Linked DNA regions of Oryzias latipes. The protein of the gene in region 1 interacts with the protein of each later gene in a biochemical or structural test. Links are inferred from orthologs where the notes say so. Each region holds a gene or a part of one and is shown in the gene's direction. Other genes may lie near its edges.

The links.
Region 2: the proteins of atg9a (region 1) and ap2m1 interact in a biophysical measurement, tested with the Homo sapiens proteins (4 studies listed by BioGRID and IntAct, with this or other methods). The link is inferred for Oryzias latipes from reciprocal best matches to the Homo sapiens genes ATG9A and AP2M1.

What each region holds. Positions count from the first base shown.
Region 1 is NC_019880.2:8,206,187-8,209,684, forward strand, and holds the end of atg9a (autophagy-related protein 9A), read left to right. Parts: coding exon 1-12; intron 13-630; coding exon 631-790; intron 791-1,085; coding exon 1,086-1,265; intron 1,266-1,354; coding exon 1,355-1,567; intron 1,568-1,653; coding exon 1,654-1,863; coding exon of another isoform or gene 1,864-1,874; intron 1,875-1,962; coding exon 1,963-2,082; intron 2,083-2,175; coding exon of another isoform or gene 2,176-2,190; coding exon 2,191-2,434; intron 2,435-2,580; coding exon of another isoform or gene 2,581-2,607; coding exon 2,608-2,786; downstream 2,787-3,498. UniProt on the Homo sapiens protein: Phospholipid scramblase involved in autophagy by mediating autophagosomal membrane expansion. Cycles between the preautophagosomal structure/phagophore assembly site (PAS) and the cytoplasmic vesicle pool and supplies membrane for the growing autophagosome.
Region 2 is NC_019875.2:21,534,001-21,538,425, forward strand, and holds the start of ap2m1 (AP-2 complex subunit mu), read left to right. Parts: upstream 1-1,338; 5' UTR 1,339-1,553; intron 1,554-3,863; 5' UTR 3,864-3,911; coding exon 3,912-3,985; intron 3,986-4,425. Other genes in the region: dvl3 (segment polarity protein dishevelled homolog DVL-3), read left to right, coding at 1-11.

The sequences.
Region 1 (3,498 bases):
CACCATTTGTCGGTAAGGATCAGTTTGCCCTTTCAGATTTTCCTATCAGTTATTTTGTATTCTTTTTTTTTAAAGCTAAAGCTGGTTTGTAGTTCATTTTGCATTACACACAGTCAAATACTTAAGCAACAGTATCATTTAACTAAGGAAATCTTAATTCTATTTATTGGGATATCCTTTTATAAGATTTGAGGTCTAGAGGAAGACCACAGAGGAGGTTTATGGATGCAGTAAATGAGGACATGAAGGTGCTAGATTAGAGGATGCAGAAGATCGGGTTAGATGAAGGAAGCTGATTTGGCGACCCCTGAGGGGAAAATAAGAGGTATTATTATTAATCTCATGTTGGTTTATTTTCTAAAAGTGTTCCCAATTAATTAGTCATTTAAGAAAATTATTTAGATCTAAAGCCTTATTGTAAAAATCTTTTGAAATTTTAAAGTTTTAAAGATGCTTTTATTTTTCAGCTAATGAATAATCTAAAGTCACAAATTGAAAAGGAATTTTTTAGGACTTTTAGACTAAAACTTTGTTTCTCTGTATCTGTAAATTGATTTTTTGTTTAATAATCAAAAAATAGTGTTAATAGTTCAATAACGTCCATGTGGTTGTTGGTATGTTTCCCTACAGATCTTTTATCCCGGATAAGCACATGGTGTTTTGTCCTGAGCAGCTGCTGCGGGTCATCCTGGCTCACATTCACTACATGCCGGACCACTGGCAGGGCAATGCGCACAGATATGAGACGCGAGACCAGTTCTCACAGCTCTTCCAGTACAAGGCAGTGAGTTAGAAAAGCTCTTGCAACAAATATCAACACACACTGTAAAACATTTGACTTTTGTGGCTAAGTGACAGAGCTTTCCAAAAGGCATTGACAATTTTTAGATCCTTTTCGGGTTAAGCTTTAAATGAGGTGACTCTCATGAACCTCTTTTCTTTCATTAAAAACAAGATAGGAGTCAAATGAACTATCAACATGTAAAAGTTGGAGAGTTTAGTCCTAATTTCTTCTGAAAACTAATCTTTTCTGGAACATTTCCGTTTATATTGTTGCACTATTTTGCTGTTTCATTTCCTTCCAGGTGTTTATTTTAGAAGAGCTGCTAAGTCCTGTGGTGACTCCCATCATTCTCATCTTCTGTCTGAGGAGGAAATCTCTGGAGATCATCGATTTCTTCAGAAACTTTACTGTAGAAGTTATTGGAGTCGGAGACACTTGCTCTTTTGCTCAGATGGACATTAGGCAGCATGGACATCCTGCGGTGATTTTACTGATAAAACTCAATTGTTTTTTTTAAACTATAAATTGTGGCATGTCAAGATTAATTGTTGTTTTATTTTCCTTTATTAGTGGATGTCGGAGGGAAAGACGGAGGCCTCTATCTACCAACAAGCAGAGGATGGGAAAACAGAGTTATCGCTGATGCACTTTGCCATCACCAACCCACACTGGCAGCCTCCTCAGGAGACCACACACTTCATTAGCCAGCTGAAAGAGCGAGTTCACAGAGAGGCTGCAGGGGCCCCTTCTGAAACACATCCGCTCTCTCTGTCAGAGTCTGAAGTAAGTCAAAAAACTAAGATTCAAGCATATTTGTTTGAACCTAACCCTTTCAGAGGTATAATGCTCTCCTTTTCTGCATGTCACAGCCAAGGAGCCTTGTAGCAAACCTCTTAGCAGGACCCTCCAGTCTGGCCTCAGTTCATTTTGGTTGTGACAACTCTTTGATCAACCATGCAGTGGCTGGCAGTGATGGAGCATCTGCCTTGCGTTCCCTTTCTCCTGTCAGCAGCAGTCTTCATCTGAGAGGCAGTCTGAGTATGGCTCAGAGAGCTAGTGGCTTCACTGGCAAAGCAATGAGTGGTTCAGGGTGAGCAAATCTGCTAATTTGGCTGCTTCTTTAGTGCACAGCTTGTCCGGTTTTTATATTTTCCTCAAATTTTTCTACTTCTTTCCTCAGAACTGATGCTCACACTGTAAGCTCAGGCAGCAGTGCATGGGAGGGCCAGCTTACTAGCATGGTTTTATCAGAGTACGCCTCTACTGAGATGAGCATTCATGCACTTTACATACATGAGGTAAATCCCCTGCCGTTTATGAATATGTCACTCATTTGATCAATCGTATTACTTTTACCGGTAATCCCCTTCGTTGTGCCTTGCTCCCTGAAGCTCCATAAACAACAGTCTCGGGGTGAGCTGTCCCGCCACACGTGGCACAGACGAGAGAGCGACGAAAGCAGCGACAGCATCCCAGACGAAGTAAGAAGCGACCACAATCCTCAGTCGAAAAGTTTCCCCCGCTCGCACACTTTTCCCACCGTGGTGTCCAGCCCAAGTGCCACTTCAACTTCAGCTAACAGCAGTAAGCCCAAAGGCCAGGAGGAAGAAAAATCACAGAGTCAGCGGCGCCACAGTGGACCCGCCACAGGTATTCTGTGCTTTGATTATAAACAGCTTTTTCATTTTTTTAAAATGTTTTTCTTATAGAATTAACCGAACAGTATTTAGGTGGTATAAAGATCTATGAAAAATCCTGGCACTTCATCATTTTTTTGTCTTTGTAACTGTTTTTAGATCATTTCAATGCGGTGGGAAGACCAGTAAGGGTGGCTCGTGTACCTATGGGTGGATGGGCAGTAGATGGTCAAGCAGCACCAAGACACCACGAGGCTGTGCCTGAAGAGAGTTCTGAGGATGAAATGCCTCCTCACATCCACAAGGTTAGCACCCTTAATGCAATAGATATAACTGCTTTGCTTGCATGTGCTGGACCTCAATAAATGCTCTCTTTGTCTCATTTCAGGTTACGTAACCCAGCCATTTGTGGCATACTGTTAACCCAACTCATCCACATCCTGGTTCAGATGTTTCCCAGAACTGACATTTTTTCTGACAGAGATATATACGTGCAATGTCTGCCATCCTTCCAAAACTCAAGTGGGGTAGCCGTCTGTCTACGTTTTTGCAGGATTGGAAAATGCAGTTAGCTCATGTAATGATCTTAATTTTCATATCAGCTCTAATTACTACAGCATTTCAAGCGGCAGAAAAACCAGACACATTTTAACAAAGAAAATCATGGAGCTTCTAGAATTGAGGGTACACAGAACTTCTTTTTTTATTATTATTGTTTTGTGTAAAACTGTTAAAATTAAATAGGGGCAGGGTATTGTACACAGCCTGTCCTCTGTCTGTACTTGCTTTTTGCCTCATCTTTTTCCCCCCAAACATTTTGGATGTTTACTGATATTAAATCTACATGACATTTGAATCTGTGGCTGCACTAGTAAATGTTCTTGGCTGATTAATTTAGCTGAAAATCCTTTGGTGTGGAAATATGCTTTTGTAAAAGATAACTGACACAAATGTTTTTTTGATTTTACATTAATCACAAAACAGATCATGGATCTAATACAGGGATCTCCAAACTTTTATGCAAGGAGGGCCAGATTTGGTGAAGTGAAAACGTGTGAGGGCTAACCAATCATTCTT
Region 2 (4,425 bases), on another chromosome or scaffold:
ATGTGATGTGACTGTAGCCTTCTGTTGGAGAAGAAAGTATTAGATTGGACTTTATCAAATAACAAGGCTGAGAAGGACAGCGTGACATTGTGGGAGTGGGAGATTAACAAGTTGGAAACTATGGCCTTGATTTCACTTTCCTTTATAGCAGTCCATTTTTTGCATGCCAAAAGAAAAACCTTCACCTCATTTGTGCTTCTGTTCTTAGTCATTTAGTTATAAGCGTCATACTTTCTTCAGTGAAGAAACAAAGCCTGGAACCAAAGCGCCTTTCACAGCCTCTGCTCCATGCGGGGAGACGTTTTGTGCAAGGACAACAAACAAGAGAACGGAGGGAGGCTTGGAAACGATCTGCTGGGGAAGAGGATGAAGTGCTTTAGCTTCCAGATGTTTTCTAATGTGTTCTGCTGTTTTCTATTTCTTCCAACCTCTCATCTGCCTTCCTGATCTGACACTACATGTCCTCATAGTGTACATCAGAAATGAGAAAAAGAGCCTTTTTCCTCCCTCTCTTGTTTGTGCACCTAAATTCTGACCTCAACCGAAGAAACTGAGCAGAAGTTTAAAAGAACTCAACCTGAGTCAGATCTTTGAATTGTTTAACACAAATGGAAAAAAAGTAGTGCAGGAGAATTTTTTTTTTTGCAGTAATGATGCATTTGTGTTATAATATTCATCATTTTCTAACCCTTAACCTCAGCGTTTAGCTCTATAGTCATTTTTACACAACACCTCAGCTGCTTTACCAGAAAATCATCAACCTGTTTTGTATAGTAGAAAATGTTTCTTATCAGACTTTTCACACTACTCTTTTACTGAGAAAGAAATGTCTTTTTTATTTATAAAGATAGTTTTATGATATATCTGTGTGTTTGTGTGGTGTTTTTGTGCGCACTAAAGAAACTGGTCAGATAAATTCCGTCATTCTGAGATATTTAAGGTCATGATTGCATTTCAAAGCAGTGAATTTAAGACTTCAGGTGAATAAACAAATGATATAATGAAGGTTGAACAAAAGCAGATTTAAAAACATTACACAGAAAAGTACGAATATATTATGAGTGAAAAACTTTTAACTTTTATAATCAACTATATAAATTTATATATTGCTCATTATTTGAGATCAATTTGTTTATAAATTGCAGGCGATTATTGACCAACAATTGTTTTTGACTTAAAATGGTCGAAATCAAAGTAAAAAAATATCTTTGGGTCTTTTTGGTGCGATTGATTGGGAACATTCCTCAAGGCTTGGCCTATCGCTTTATTTTATAAACTAGTTTGAAAATACACATTTCTAACTACATTGGATGAACAGCTCGTGTAGTTTCTCAACTGCTAGGCAGGCCTGGGCGCGGTTAACACCCAGCCATCGTACTGGCCGCGCCTTTTCTTCCTGTCAGCGGAACAGGCGTGCGTAAGGACGGCGAGTCAGCTGACAGTTATCGGGGGACCGGGGCAGCGGGTGTGTGAGCAGAGATTCTGCTCTGCAGACGTTATATTTAAGACCAGGCGGGAAGGGAAAAACTCCTGGTGTTGGTGAGAGGACCAAGGTAAGTTGACAAATTTGTCGTTGTATCCGGAACGAAACGATTAGCTAGAACCCAGTGACTCGCGAAAAGCAGGTCAGCGCTTTCCCCTCTATGCTAACGTTAGCAGCTATTTGCCTAGCTAACGTCAAGCTAGCAGGAGTTAGCCACACGATAACAGAAATGAAGTAATTTCCATTTTGTGGAAACGCTGAAACTGCCGCGTGTGCATGAGATGTTTAAAACACATTTGTCGAACGAGCGACATTGATTGTTTTAACAAACACGTAACCGTTTTGTGTAGAAAACCTGTCAAGTCGCAGAATTGTAGTACTTGTGACCGGATATTCCGTTTGAAAATTCGCCATGCACGACGGTATTTCACTGGAAGCCATCGCCTGCTAACCCGCTATCGCTAGCTAAATTAGCTTAAATTAGCAGTCTGCTTTTACCGAAGAACAAACACTCGGCTGTGTTGCGTCCACGTAACTGTTTAAACAAAACGTTACTGGTAAACTTGGCCCTTGCTTTTCTACAAACATTTGAAATGTATGACTGTATGAAAATGGCCCCAGTGAGTGAGCAGACATCTTGACTTCGCCAGAAAAAAGAGGCGATTAAATCTCTTCAGGTTTTGTGCGGATGGTTAAGTCACGACTTAGCGGTGTTTAAGCGGAAAACATGCTGCTAATCCTGCAGCTAACGTGTCAAGTCTCCCATAGTGTCGGTTTTTCGATGTTTGGATTTTCTGCTCGAGGAATTTGAAATGTCCTTCATGGTTTCCAGAAGGTTCATTCTTATCATCAAGGAGAGAAAAAAGGAGGGACAGAGAGAAATTCCTGTCTCCAGCAGCCCTTAAGTTACTTTTTGTATTTTTTTAAACCTTAAACTGCTACTTCTGTTTTTTTTTTTTTTTTTTTTTTTTTTTTTTATCTAAATTAAATTGATGAGCATTTGTATTCGGCTAAGTGACACATCAAAGACCCACTCCAATTAAAATTGTGTTTTTAACATGTTCTTGACTTGTGGCACTTTTCTGATTATAGAGGACGTACATTAAGAAAATTGAGCTTAAAATTGTGTTTGAGTATTTCTATATTCAAATTGCTGTGAATCAGGAGCAGACGAAAAAACTCCATTGGAAAATGCTCATAGCAGGGAAGTAGGTGCTGCAATCATTGGGCCACAAGCTCTGTACTCCGCTACATTTTGATGCATCCACTTGCAGACTAATAGATCCATCCATGCATGTCTGCATTTTCCTCGCCTGAACTGATATCTGGCTCAACACTGGACAGCTGGACAGCTCCAAAAGTGCTCGCCGTTTTTATTGCTCCAATAATTGGGTTGGAGGTGTGAATAGCTGTAAGCTAGCGGGAGGGCATTAAAACAGATGGATAGAGGCAACTTGGAAACAAACTACCCATAACAGCTCCTAATCTTCTTCTTCTATCTAATATGTCACTGGAGGAAAAGAACTGCCGTTTCATTAGTATGGAGATCCATTGCCTCATCAAGTCAGCGTGTTGGATATGTGTGTGCATCTTTTTGCTTCCTTCGAGTCCGAATGGAAGAAGTGCAGCTGCAGGAATTAGTCAGCTGGCAAAAGGGAAACGAGGATGAGAGAGAAAAGAGGATGTGAGGGACAAATGTGTCTCTGTGTCACCAGCGGTGACTCCCTCACTTTCACTTCTCCTGGCTAATTTTTAATCCTCCATGTCAGTAGTTTTCAGGTAGATACTCAATATGACTATGGATGGAGGCTTAAAACCAACTTTATATTCAAAAAGGATGCATTTTTCTTGTAAAATTACAACTTTGCTCTCATAATTTTACGACTTTGTTCTTGTAAATGTTGATTTTTTTTTTTTGTTGTACTTAATTTTTATTTACTTGTATGGGGCCTTAATATTTTGTTGTAGATATGTACCCCAAAAAGGTACTAGATTTAAATACATGTTTGTATTTTTCAATCATGCATATGAAGATCCCAGCAAAAATGATCACAACAAAAAATGAGATCTTTAACACAAGGTGAATATGTATAAGAAGTAAAACACATTGTGTGGTATTATTCTTTACTACACCAACAATTTTTTCTTCCTTTTTTGATACACAAATCACATTTCTTCATTTAATTTTTATTTTGTATAAATTTAGTGCTTTGTAAAAAAAACTATATTTATAAACTCTGTTTTAAAGATTTTATTGATTCATTGAAGATTTTCCATAAATAAAATATATTCTGAGAGTTACACCTTTGTGAGGGGGGGGGGGGGGGGGGGAAGCTTGGGGACCACTGCCTTCATGTCGTTCCTTTCTGTTTTTTGCCAGGTGGTGTTTGGTTTCATCATGGCAAGGTGTGTTTGAGAGGCAGCCACAATGATTGGAGGACTGTTTATCTACAACCACAAGGGGGAGGTCCTGATCTCCCGTGTCTACCGAGATGACATAGGGTATGTTTGACACGAACTAACCTTCTGTAAGTCTCCTCAAGTTGTGGAAGACTTCAGTTCAATGGAACTATCTGGATCCTGCGTTGGAGGGCTAGCTGGAGTTGATCTCCTCGATGAGAGGATTATGTCACCACATCCAGCTAAAATCATGTCTGCTTGTGCAAGGAAGCTGAGTTAGACGTAAGCCTGGATTAAATCATCCGCTCATATAACATTGTTTAAGGGATTAGATGCTATTTATTTAACAATCTGAAGGCCTATGCAAATTGAATAAATGATTAGAGTTACAGATGCTCAGGCGCATTATCAAACCACACTCTCTGCTTTAGCTAGAGCTGTTCATCAAGAGTTGACTTTTGTTTTCAGTTCTAGAGGCAGGAAGAATTACAGAGAACCTAAATTGGATGGTTAAAAAATACTTGGATGACCCATAGCTAGTT